Linked DNA regions of Canis lupus familiaris. The main gene of each other region encodes a partner of the protein of the gene in region 2 in a complex. Links are inferred from orthologs where the notes say so. Each region holds a gene or a part of one and is shown on either strand. Other genes may lie near its edges.

What was found.
Region 1: STRIP1 (region 2) and STK25 share a complex: the UniProt entries of both Homo sapiens proteins name them as parts of the core of STRIPAK complex. The link is inferred for Canis lupus familiaris from reciprocal best matches to the Homo sapiens genes STRIP1 and STK25.
Region 3: STRIP1 (region 2) and STK24 share a complex: the UniProt entries of both Homo sapiens proteins name them as parts of the core of STRIPAK complex. The link is inferred for Canis lupus familiaris from reciprocal best matches to the Homo sapiens genes STRIP1 and STK24.

Annotation. Positions count from the first base shown.
Region 1 is NC_049246.1:51,489,536-51,493,922, forward strand, and holds the start of STK25 (serine/threonine-protein kinase 25), read right to left. Parts: upstream 2,820-4,387; intron 2,584-2,819; 5' UTR 2,570-2,583; coding exon of another isoform or gene 2,498-2,569; coding exon 2,468-2,497; intron 1-2,467. Other genes in the region: EZH inhibitory protein-like, read left to right, coding at 2,496-2,569, 2,820-3,111. UniProt on the Homo sapiens protein: Oxidant stress-activated serine/threonine kinase that may play a role in the response to environmental stress.
Region 2 is NC_049227.1:42,374,575-42,378,215, forward strand, and holds part of STRIP1 (striatin-interacting protein 1), read right to left. Parts: intron 3,191-3,641; coding exon 3,119-3,190; intron 2,632-3,118; coding exon 2,557-2,631; intron 2,333-2,556; coding exon 2,235-2,332; intron 1,023-2,234; coding exon 896-1,022; intron 685-895; coding exon 584-684; intron 1-583. UniProt on the Homo sapiens protein: Plays a role in the regulation of cell morphology and cytoskeletal organization. Required in the cortical actin filament dynamics and cell shape. Part of the striatin-interacting phosphatase and kinase (STRIPAK) complexes.
Region 3 is NC_049243.1:48,761,892-48,765,532, forward strand, and holds part of STK24 (serine/threonine-protein kinase 24), read right to left. Parts: intron 3,559-3,641; coding exon 3,450-3,558; intron 3,154-3,449; coding exon 2,996-3,153; intron 1-2,995. UniProt on the Homo sapiens protein: Serine/threonine-protein kinase that acts on both serine and threonine residues and promotes apoptosis in response to stress stimuli and caspase activation.

The DNA.
Region 1 (4,387 bases), on a different chromosome or scaffold from region 2:
CCCTCAGACCCCTGGGCCACGAGCTGCAAACCAAGGCTTTCCGGGTGCTTAACCCTGGATCTCGGGAGACTACCGCACTCGGGCCTCAGATGGAAACTGAGGCCCAGCGAGCACCCTGCGGCCTGGGCACCGGGACACGGGGAACAGAGCTCCACGGGGTCTCCGAGAGGGGCGCTGATGCCCCGGGCTCCAGGGCGCAGGCCACTACTGGCCCTGAGGCAACCCACGGGGTCCCCGGGAGCCCCCAGCCCCGCAGGGCCGAGGCCCGGGGCCGAGTGTGGGAGCCGAGGCTGGGGCCTGGCGTCCTGCCCAGACGGGGGCAGAAGGGCCTTCCTGAGGCTCCGCGACTCCCATCCCGCAGGAGGCGCCTCCGCCAGAAGGCCCTGCTCCCACAGCCCACGCGCCTGTCACAGGAGGGCGTCTAAAGCAGCCACGCGTGAAAAGGAATCAAATCCAGCTCCCCGAGCCCCATCGGCCCCGACTGCCGTGGGCCCTGTGAGGGAAGGCCCGCCCGGGGTTGCTGGGTGCCCACAGCGCCGAGGAGGGTCCTCCACGCACACGAGCCCCCTCGGCTCCCCGCCAGCCAGAGCTCGGGGACTCCAGCGGCCTCGCCCACGGTGCGCAGGCCCACGCGGCACGCACGGCCCCTTCCCCACTGCGGCTGAGCTCCAGGCAGAGGACTGAGGGCCGCCCGCGCCGGGCACCTGCGGGAGCCGGGGGCGGGGACTCCCGGCTGGGACTCCGGGTCACGGGCCGTGGGCTGTGCTGCAGCACAGCCTTCGGGGCAGGGCCGATGGACGTGCGGGCCTCCCGCCGGGCCGGTGAGGCGCTGTCTTCTGTCCTCAGCAGAGCCGAGACCAGCCCGGAGCGGGCGTGGGGACCACCCACCACGCACCTGTTCCTGCTGCACACGCTCTGGAGAAACCCAAGGCCACTTAGGCACGTGGCCGTGAGTCACAGCTGCTTGGCTGTCTGCAGTGTGCGGACGGGGACGTGGATCCCACGATTAGCACCCACCCCGACCTCAGAGGCCTGGCTGGGGTCTGCCAGCAACTCCTGGGCAGCAGGAAAAGGCCGTCTGCCGGGAGAGCGCCCTCCGCCTCTGGGGGGAAGCTCGCGATCCCCTGCTCAGTCCTGGACGTCACAGGGGACCTGGCCACCTGGGCCCATGTGTTCAGCGCCCCAGGCGTGGGCGTGGGGGCTGCCCAGGGATTGTGGTCCAGCTGGTGCCGTGGCGCTGTGTTCTCTGTCCTAAGAAAACCTGGCAGCACCAGTCAGCACCGCTGTGCCTTGGGGTCCCCTCTGCACCCTCAGGCCTCCGTGGGCGACGCGTCCCGTGCCTCTGCTCCCGTCAGCCCTGCTGAGGACACTATGTCACTGTCCAGGAGGGCCCAGAGCTGGGTCGGTTCACCACGACAGCCCAACCAGGGAGACCCCACACGGGGCGCTTGGACCCCCCTGGCCCGGGGGAGCACACGCGGAGCCCTGAGCCGCAGCTCCAGGCCTCGACCCCAACCCTCGCCCCGAGGCCCGATAGCACAAGCACATCACAGGGACCACCCGCTCCAGCCCCCTGGCTGAAGGTGCGTAGCTCCTGCGTCTCGGCTGCTTTTCTAGGCCACGCACAGCACACGGTCTGGACGATCCCTCAAGGCTTGAGTGACCTGAGACTTGAGACCCTTGTCCCCCAGCCCTGCAGCAGGCCAGGTCTGTGGCCCCACAAGATGAAGGGAGCGAGGCCACTCCCACCACCAGGCAGCAGGCAGGGCGGGAACCAGCTGGCGGGGACCCTCGGGCTAGGCAGGGGCGCCCCACGGGGTCACAGCACAAGTGTCTTGAGAAAATCAGGCTTCCCGCCCCGGACAAAGGCCACGTGTGCTGGCCTCTAAAGGACGACGGCTTCCCCCTTGGGGCCCTGCCCCGCGCCCCCAGCCCTGCGCCCCGCAGCAGGGGTGGCCCGGCCGCCCACCGCGGTCAGCCCGGGCACAGAGACCCCTCGCCCCGACGGCTGCTTCTGGGGCCCGGGAGCGCCTCCGCCAGCGGCCCTCTTTCCTCTCGGGCTAGGAGAGCTTGTCCGCTTCGGCAAGACGCGGTGCTTGGTTCCGGGCGGCCCCGGGCTGCGGGCAGGGCCGGCCGCGCTTCTGGTCACGGGGCAGGGCAGCGGGTCGCCGCGGCCCAGGCGGGGAGCGGCCGCCACGGAAGCGAGCTCGTCTCCTTCAACCCGATGATTCTTTTCCAAACGGGCGCGTCTGCTCGGGGCCGGCGGCGCGGGCGGCGGGTGTCCTTCCCGGGGCGTCGCAGCTCGCGGCACCGGCACCGGGAGCAGGTGGAGGCGCGGCTCCAGGCCGGGGGGCGGCTCGGGCACAGGCAGGACCCGCCTCGCCCGGCCCCGCGAGCCGCCGTCCTCCGGGGCGCGCCCGGCCCCGCCCGCCCCGCCCGCCCCGCCCGGCCCGGCCCGGCCTCCTACCTGGTTGGCGAATCCCCGCAGGTGAGCCATGTCCGCGACGCCCTCCGACCGTCCGCGGCCTCCGGCGGCCCGAGACCCCGCCCGCCGCTCCGGAGCCCGGCCGCCCGCCTAGGCCGCTGCAAGGACCGCGCGCTCACGCCCACGCCCACGCCCCGCCCCGACCCGACCCCGGCCCCGACCCCGCCCCGACCCCGCCGCCCCCCGCGAGCCCCCGGCAGGCCCCGCCCCCCGCCCCGACCCCGGCCCCGCCCCCCGCGAGCCCCGCCCCGGCCCCGGCGCCCCCCGCTCGCCCCCGGCCCCCGCCGCCCGCCCCGCCGCCGACCACCGCCCGGCCCCCGCCCAACCGCCCCAGGCGCGGGCCCACCCGGCAGCGCGCCCACCTCCGGGGGGCTCCATCCCGGCCTCCCCCGGCCCGCTCCTCAGCGCCCGCGAAGGCTCCCACCCGCAGCCTCCTCGCGCCCGGGGACGCCCGGGCCCTCCAGCCCCGGAGCAGCGGCAGTGACGGCGGCGGCCGGAGAAAGCCCAGCGGCGGCGACGGCGAGAGGGCGCGCGACGTCGTGGCCCAGCGCGGGGGTCTCTGGGACACCGAGTTCCGCCGCTCGCCGCGCGTCCCGGTGCCCGCGGGCGCTGGACTACAAGTCCCGGTAAGCCTCGCGGCAGGGCGGTGTCGCGGGGCTCGCCGGGACTCGGAGTCGGGCTTCCTGAGCGGCCGCGGACCACGTCTCCCAGCAGGCCGCGGGGCGGGGCGGGGCCGGGGGCGGGCGGGGCCGGGGCGGGGCCGGGGCGGGGCGTGCAGCCCGGGGTTGGGGCGGCCCCCGGCCGAGCGTCCTCCCGCGGCCCCTCCCCTCCCCCCGCCCCGCGACCCCCACCCGACCCCCCTCCTCCCTTCCGTCCCCTCCGCCGCCTTGGGAGGTGCCGCCTGTTCCCAGGCCCTGCCCGGCCGCGCGGCCCGGGCATCTCCGCGGCGGCTGATGGAGGAGCGAGGAGCGAGCGGTGCTGCGCGCAGGCCGGGGAGCACCAGCCTGGGGAAGGAGGGACCCTGTGGCCTGGAGCCGCGGGACGGCCTGGGGACGGGCTGGGGGAGACCAGCGGACAGGGCGGGCGACGCCACGGCGCAGGTGGGGAAGCCCCGCGGGGTCGGCTTTGCAGGGAGCCGGGACCGGGGCGGGGGCGGGCACCGGGCCTGGGGGTCAGCGATCGGCGCCGCGGCTTCTCCGCGAGGCGAGGGCCCTGGACGCCGGGCGCTCAGTCCTCAGAACTGCTGACGCGGGTAATCGTTTGCGTGTTGTAAGTTACGCGAAATGCGATGAAACAGAAAAGGAACTGAGTTCTGACACGCGTTACAACACGAGCCTTCAAAACCATGCAGCCCGGGGGGCCCAGCGTTCAGCGCCGCCTTCAGCCCCGGTGTGACCCGGAGACCGGATCGAGCCCCACGTCGGGCTCCCTGCACGGGGCCTGCCTCTCCCCCTCTCTCTCTCACGAATAAATAAACTCTTTAAAAAATAAGAATAAAAAACAAAAACTCTATGCTGGGGCACCTGGGGCCTCCGTGGGTTGAGCGACCGACTGTTGGCCCCAGCTCAGGCCTTGGTGTCAGCGGGATGGAGCCGCGCTCAGCAGGGAGCCTGCTGGAGACTCTGCCCCTCCCGCAACGCCTGTGCAGAGCTCACGCTCTCCCTCCCTCCCTCTCCCTCAAATAAATACATCTTTTTTTCTCTAAGTTTTAAGTGAATAATTTTTTTTTAATCCCACTATGCCTGGGGCACCTGGGTGGCTCCACCCATTAAGCATCTGACTCTTGGTTTCAGCTCCAGTAATGATCTCATGGTCGGGGATTCTCTCCCTCCTCTCCTACCCCCATTCTCTCTCTCTCTCTCTCTCTCTCTCTCTCTCTCTCTCTCGTAAATGAATAAATCT
Region 2 (3,641 bases):
CTTAAAAAAAAAAAAAAAAAAATCCCTGCTACCAGAGAACTTATAGGGTCTCTCATGGCCAAAGACCAGGTAGCCATCTTGTAAGGTCCAGAGGCCCTCCTCTCCTACAGCAGCAAATCTGCAGAAATGGGGAAGATTTCTCAAGGCAGTTAATGCATGCCAAGCCCCTACTGGAGACAGCACCTGGCCAACCGCCCTCACCCTGTGCTGCGCCATCAGCTACAGCCGGCAGCAGGTGGGGGAGGGGGCAGACAAGGGCTCACGGTGCACGTGGCAGAGCTCCTCAGAGAGCAGGAGGCCCAGCCAGTCTCCTCAAAGAAACACCAAACAGTTGAGGACAGTACTGGAACCCAGGTTGAGAACCCTCCCACCCAGGCGGACTGTGCCACCTGTCACTGGAGTGGCTAGACTCAGACTTGACACAGTGGCACTCTCCACAGCAGGGGTCGGTCCCTGCGGTCCCTGTGCTGAGGCCCGGGAGAGTGCTGGCTTGCAGGGGCTGAGTGGGCTCAGCAGAGGAGGCCGGCCAGGAGCCCTGCCACCTGGCCACACCCACCCCTCCCTGCTCCCTCTCCCGTATCACCTGTTCTTGGCGGTGATGTAGGACATGATGTTTTGATTGAAGAACTTTAGGATCAGAGGGATGCAGTTGGCAAACACCAGGTGCTGGGCCATGTATTCAAACTGAAACCAACAGAAAAAAGTAAGTATGCCCTTTAGGACCTCGCCCTCTTTCCTCCAATGATAAAAGGCCTTGGTTGGAAGACTGTGTCTTAAAACATTCATGCAGAGTTCAAAGAGGTTTGAAGGTCAAGGCCTGAATTTTTCAGGATTGGAGGAGTAGTGCTGCCTGAGGCCCTGGCCCAGGGAACAGGAAGGAAGGCCCTGCAGGTACCTGGTAGACGTGGTTCAACTTAAAATGCTTGAGTAGCAACAGCAGGACAGCAGAAATGGCCTTAACAATGACCTCTTTGTGGCGGTTCACGTCCACCCCCAGCTTCATGCTCTGCAACACTGTGGTGCTGGAAACACAATTCCCAGGGTGAGCCACCAGCAGGTACAGCACAGCCCTTCTAGATGCTCGTGGGAGAGATGGCATTCTTGAGCCTTCCCTGGGCAAAGGCCCCCACCTCACCACCCACCCCTCGTGGGCATCTCAGATATCAGGCCCTGGGCTCCTCCTACCTGCCTCACAAGCAATCCAGCTCAGCACAATTCTTGTGAGGCCCCAAACACATTCTTAGCCTATTTCTCTGATTTCCTCGCAAAATGAACTCCTTTCCAAGTTCTTCCTAAGCTTTTGCTACTGTATGAACTTGGGTCCCTCCCAGTGTATCCTGTGGAATACTAGTACATTGAGGCTTTTCATACTGGGGAGAAAAAAGGGCTTTGGAGTCAGATATACTGAAGAAGCACTAAGTTAAACTGTTTCTTAATTCAGGGCCTTGCACTGTAAATCTCTGTGAAATTTAGTATTTGACTCTGGAACCCTTCTTCCAAGGACCATCATGATGGCCTGGTGTTCTAGGACGCTCCCTTTGGTATTAACCAATCCCTGCCTCCTCCCTCACCTGGCTATCATGGCCAGACTCAAGGGGCTCCAGCCCCCGGGGAGCTGGGTTCAGAGCTGGGTGGTACTGGCAGGCAGGCAAGCAGAAAGTCAGATCAAGGCCCAGGTCCTTCTCAAAGCAGAAAATGATCTCGGTTTGAACTCTCACATCAAAGCGATGAGGTCAGTGCCCCAGGGAAAAAGAACCCCTAAGGATTTCACTATCACCCTGAGATATCCACAAATATCCTGCATGCCAAATCAACAGCAAATAGAAAAGAATCCACACCCAGCTCAAGTTCAGCTGTTGGCCGGTAAAATGTACAGTAGTCCTGGATGATCACACAGCTTTCGAGGGAGGGTTTGGGAAATGTCAAACACAGCCTGATTCATTTTACAGAGGAGGAAATGACTTTTCCCCAGTTCACTCAATGGCAGAGTCTACACCAGAATCCGGGCCTACCACACAAAGCCACTTCCCCAACCAGTAAAATTAAGTATTTAATCCAATACAGTTTCTTTCTTCTGAGCCAGGAATACCCTAAACTTAACCCACAGAGAAAGTGAGTCAAAGAGAGAAATCAACCTAACAAAGAGTGGGACCTGAGAGGAAAACCTTGCCTTTCCCCTCTACCCTGCAGCCTCTGCCCTGCTCCATTCACCGGTATGCTACCCAGCTACTCACGGCATTTCCTCAGGCAGGACATCGGCTAAGATGTTGATTGAGTCTGTTTTGGCCTTTGAGGTGGGGGCTGCAGCCAGCAAGATCTTCAGCAGTGCGATCTGCCAGAGAAGCAGAAGCAGCCCTAAGCCCTTAGAGGTGGTCCTTCCAGAGGAGCTCAAATGGGCGGTGGGAGGGGCTAAAGGACACTGGCAGAGCGTGCTCTCAAGGCCAGTGTAGTGGGGAGGGCGATCCCGCGGCAGTACCTACGCATGGCCACTAAAGGGGTCCCAGACCCAGAGGACTCCTGAAGAGGTGGCAAGGCCCCAGGAGCAGGGGCACTCACCATGTACTGAGGCAGGCTGGGAAGCAAGCCTTGGTAGAGGGTTTCTGCAGGTACTTGCTCAACTTCCTCTTCTCCCTTTTAACACAATTAGGCACAAATACAAAACCCCAGTCCTGATGGGTCTCCTGAGCCAGCCTGCTAGGCGGCTAGAGGAGAATCTGTAAGTAGTGATATAAATAAAGATGTTGATAACGACAGCAAACATTGAATAATACGACCTGTGAGGCACTTTACCTGTAATAACTCAGTTAATCCTTACTACAACTCTGTGAAGAAGGCTATTATTATTCCCATTCCACAGGTGAGGAAACTAAAGCACGGCGAGATCCAGTAACTTGCCTAAGTGACCACCTACCAAGTCAGGGAGCTGGGAGTCAGAGGCAGGTGATGGGCTCAGAGTCTGTGCTCTTGACCCTCATACTAATAACCCGCCACCCCTGCAATGGGAGAGAGACTGGGAGCTTCGAGGGCAGGGCCTGGGGCAGCTCTGTGGTCTGGGCCCAGCCCAGTGCCTGGGAACAGCAGGGGAGTGGGTGGCGACTGGAGAAGGCCTCAGACTCACCCCTGAGAGAGGAGAGCGAAGGTACTCCTCCTCCATCTGCGCCTGGACCTCTGCAATCGATGTGTACTTGTGCTGGAGAGAGAGCGGGGGAAACACCCCTCATTCGCTGGCCAAAGCCGCACACCCTGGCAAAGACCCCATGCGGTTTTCTTCAAACACAATCTTCTCAAAGAGAGCTAACATCACCACAAAAATCCCTAACTCAAATCCTGAAATATTTTTCTAAGTGGACACATATTTCTTAAACCCAGTCTAAAAAGCACACAATAGATTAGGAAAAAACAAAGGAAAGAAGGGACTTCCAGATAACTAAAGAGATACGAGAAAACCACTAAAGGGAGAGTCAATGACTCAGAACCAAGTCCTCAAATAGCCTAATGGCACAGGGCCTGCTTAGCCCATTTGTACAAATCTCAAAAACGTATTTCAAAAACATATCATCAACATTTACACTCTTGACATGTTGTTAGGGGAGATACCTCTTCCCCACTTGATGTTTCCTCCCATGTGGAGGGATACGTGT
Region 3 (3,641 bases), on a different chromosome or scaffold from region 2:
TTATGTTAAACAAGGTTCTAGATGTACATAAAACTAAGGTTTACACTCCCTTTAGGTTCAGTAAGATGAAGAAACCAGTGAGGCAGGTGCATTCTAGCTTTACCCCAACCTGACCGTCCTTTGAAAAATCAGTGAGTGTACTAAAACAAAATATGATGGGAGCATGGGGTCCTAACAATGCTAACACAATCCTGCCACCCTGGGGCTGTGAGCTCCTTAGTGGAATGCAAAGACCACTGGGGAAAACATCTGGATGGACACCTTAGGAAAAGAGTGGAAGGGGCAATTGGAAAGAAGCCAAATAAGTTTGTATATCCTGAGACCAGAGTAACCAAAATGAGCATCAACTACCCTGTCAGACAAGCCTCTGAGAATGGGGGCAGTCACTAGAAGGCTATCTACAAAGCAAATGCAGAAAAAAGTTCCTTTGTCAGGTACTGATCATGACAAAAGCTACTAGCCCAGAGCCACACCTAATGGGAGAGAAGGAATGTCACATTATCCTCAAGGCCCCAGACTCAAAACACTGACATCAGCCTTATCTGTACTTCCCATGCCTCCTGGGGATCAACAAATCTGGGAAGCAAACTTGACATAAACATGATATTTGCATATGATTTTCAGTGAAGAGGTGTTGGGCATGACCCAAATAAAAGATTTAGCTTCTGACACAGGCCAGAGTAAGAGGTACAAACACTAGTGAAAAGAGTGGCATACCTTTTCAAGCTCCCAACCAAGTGTGTACCCCTCAAGCTGGAGACTCTTTAAATCTACCTAAGAAGAATACTGCAACACCTACAGATAGGGTTTGAGTGTTCTGTTCTTGACAAGAGCTAGGGGCCAAATCTTGAACACACATCCAGAGTGGCCTGAAGGAGAGAGACAGGAAGGGGAAGGTCTGGGCAAGGAGGACACTTCAGAGGAGTCCTTATAACCCATCAAGTGAGCAGTGATGGGTGCTTAATCCTGAAAATAGAAGATCTGAATCCTGATTCACAAGCACTGTGATTGATCAGCTCATGTACCAGGAAGGGAAGAAAGTAATAAGTGTAGGGTAATCAGAGGAGTTGAACAATTTGGATTCTAGTGCCCATCAAAATCCAGTTCTATGAACTTTGATAAATGGGCCTCAGCCTAGAATAAAGAGAAAGAACTGAACACAGATGTTCCTGTCAAGTCCTAAAATGATTATGACCCCAGCAGCAGTAGTGGCTGCAGAGACTACTCTGGAGGTGATCCCTCCCACAGGGCGAAATGCTAACAAGCACTAGGCACAAAGACACCGCTATGTCACCCTGGGGGCTGAAAACTCAACAGTGGCCTTGGCTACCAAGGCCACCGGGATGTCTATGGCAGTGACGGCCACGACTACAACCCAAAAGTAAGAGAGCCAAGCCCGTCTCTACCATACTAACACCAGGTCCACCTGCAACTCTGGTACTACATAGGCCCTTCAAACAGCTGGCTCATGATGGTGCCCTGAAGGCTGGAGGAAAGGTTACTGTGTGTTCTGTGGGCTGTGCTGAACAAGGTGGGAAGTCTACTGTATATTGAGAAGATCCTCATTTAAAAAGAGGAAACAATGACCAGCCCACAAATGTATGTGAGTTAAATATTTGTTCACCTAGAAACTGTTGGGTCAGAAGAGACAATTCTCTGTGAACCATGTGAAAATTACTTTGTGTACAATCTGAGAATGAGCAGCTGGGAGGAGAGGGGGGTTAAATCAGAGATTCTCAAGGCAAGATCCCTAAGTTTTTTAGTCTATAAGAAGTTTAAGAAAGTTGAAGAGGACGCCTGGGTGGTTCACTCAGTTAAGTGTCTGACACTTGGTTTTAGCTCAGGTCAGGATCTCAGGGTCGTGAGATGGAGCCCTACATCAGGCTCTGTGCTCAGCTGGAAGTCAGCTTGAGGATTCTCTCTCCCTTTCCTCACCCCACTCCCCTCTCACATTCTCTTTAAATCAATCAATCAATCAGGAAAGATGGAAAAAAGAAAAGGAAAGAAGAAAAAAGGAAAAAAGAAGAAAAGGAAAAAAAGAAAAAAGAAAAAAAAGAAGAAGAAAAGGAAAGAAGAAAAGAGAAAAGAAAGTTAGTTGAAGGCACCAGGGAAAATAGAACCCAGGAAAAACTGAGGGGTTACAACTGATAACAGATAAAAAGGTAGATAAAAGGAATTATGGTTTGCCTTACATTAGGAATAACAATCCTAACTGAGAGTTAAAAATAACAAGAAAGAATATGTAGCAATGCAGTTTCTGGTCTTATATTTTTGTGAGGTCTCCATTTCTTTTGTAGGACCTCTTTCTCTGCCTGTGCCTTAAATATGGCTCAGAGTTCCTCCACACCCCACCTTCCAACGTGCTCCTTCTCAAGTGTTCCCCACCACCATTAAGCCACAGTGTTTAACCGAAAAACTTTGTAACTGTGGGCTGAATAAATAAAGGACATGAGGGGTGTGGGGTGGCTCAGTCGGTTAAGGGTCTGCCTTTGGTTCAGGTCATGATCCCGGGGTCCTGGGATGGAGCCCCACACGGATTCCATGCTCAGTGGGGAGTCTGCTTCTCAGCTCATGCTCTCGATCTCAAATGAATAAATAAAATCTTTTAAAAATAAAAATAAAAGGGATCCCTGGGTGGCGCAGCGGTTTAGCGCCTGCCTTTGGCCCAGGGCGCGATCCTGGAGACCCGGGATCGAGTCCCACGTCGGGCTCCCGGTGCATGGAGCCTGCTTCTCCCTCTGCCTGTGTCTCTGCCTCTCTCTCTCTCTCTCTATCATAAATAAATAAAAATTTAAAAAAAATAAAAATAAAAATAAAGGACATGAAATGTAGGAGAGAGAGAGAGATAAAACCTGTTTTTAATCAAGGTCTGAGGGAACTACCTTTATGTCCTACTTCAAGGAACTTGCTTCACTCCACCTGGAAAAGCTGCGAGGCTAAAGCACAGACGAGGATGACTCTCTAGAGCCAGCGAATGTGAAGAGGCGGCCCTTACCTTTGAGTCATAGGCAGACTGTTTAATGACTTCGGGTGCCATCCAGAAGGGGGTGCCCACGAAGGTATTCCTTTTTATCTGGGTATCTGTCAGTTGGCCCGCCACCCCAAAATCAGCCAGCTTCACCTCTCCGTGTTCAGAGAGCAGAACATTGGCAGCTGCAAAATAAAACCCAAGATGCCTCCTGATATTATGTGCTGTGCTGCTCTGTCCGTTACCACGTCAGGAATGCACACGTTCTCTCGCCAAGGACATCCTGTGCTCAACAAGAGCAGGCACTAAAGGTACGGTTTTGGGGAGATCCTCCTCAAAGCCACCCCTGCCCCAGGCATGTCAAAGGCACCCCTCAAATACACACAGAACAACCTCCAACGAGGAGACCGGTACATATTTAACTCTACAACATAATCCCACCCGCCTTAGGATTTCAAAGGAATAAAAGATCTTTTCTTACCTTTGATATCTCTGTGAATTTTCTTCTCTGAATGCAAATAATCAAGTCCTTTCAGTATTTCTCTTAATATAGTAGCAATCTGAGTTTCATCTAAAGGGCCAGGTTCTAACTAATAAGAAAAGAATGATTAAAGTTAAATGATCATCTTAGAAGTAGTTTCAGATGACAGAACAAAGGCATATGTTAAATGGA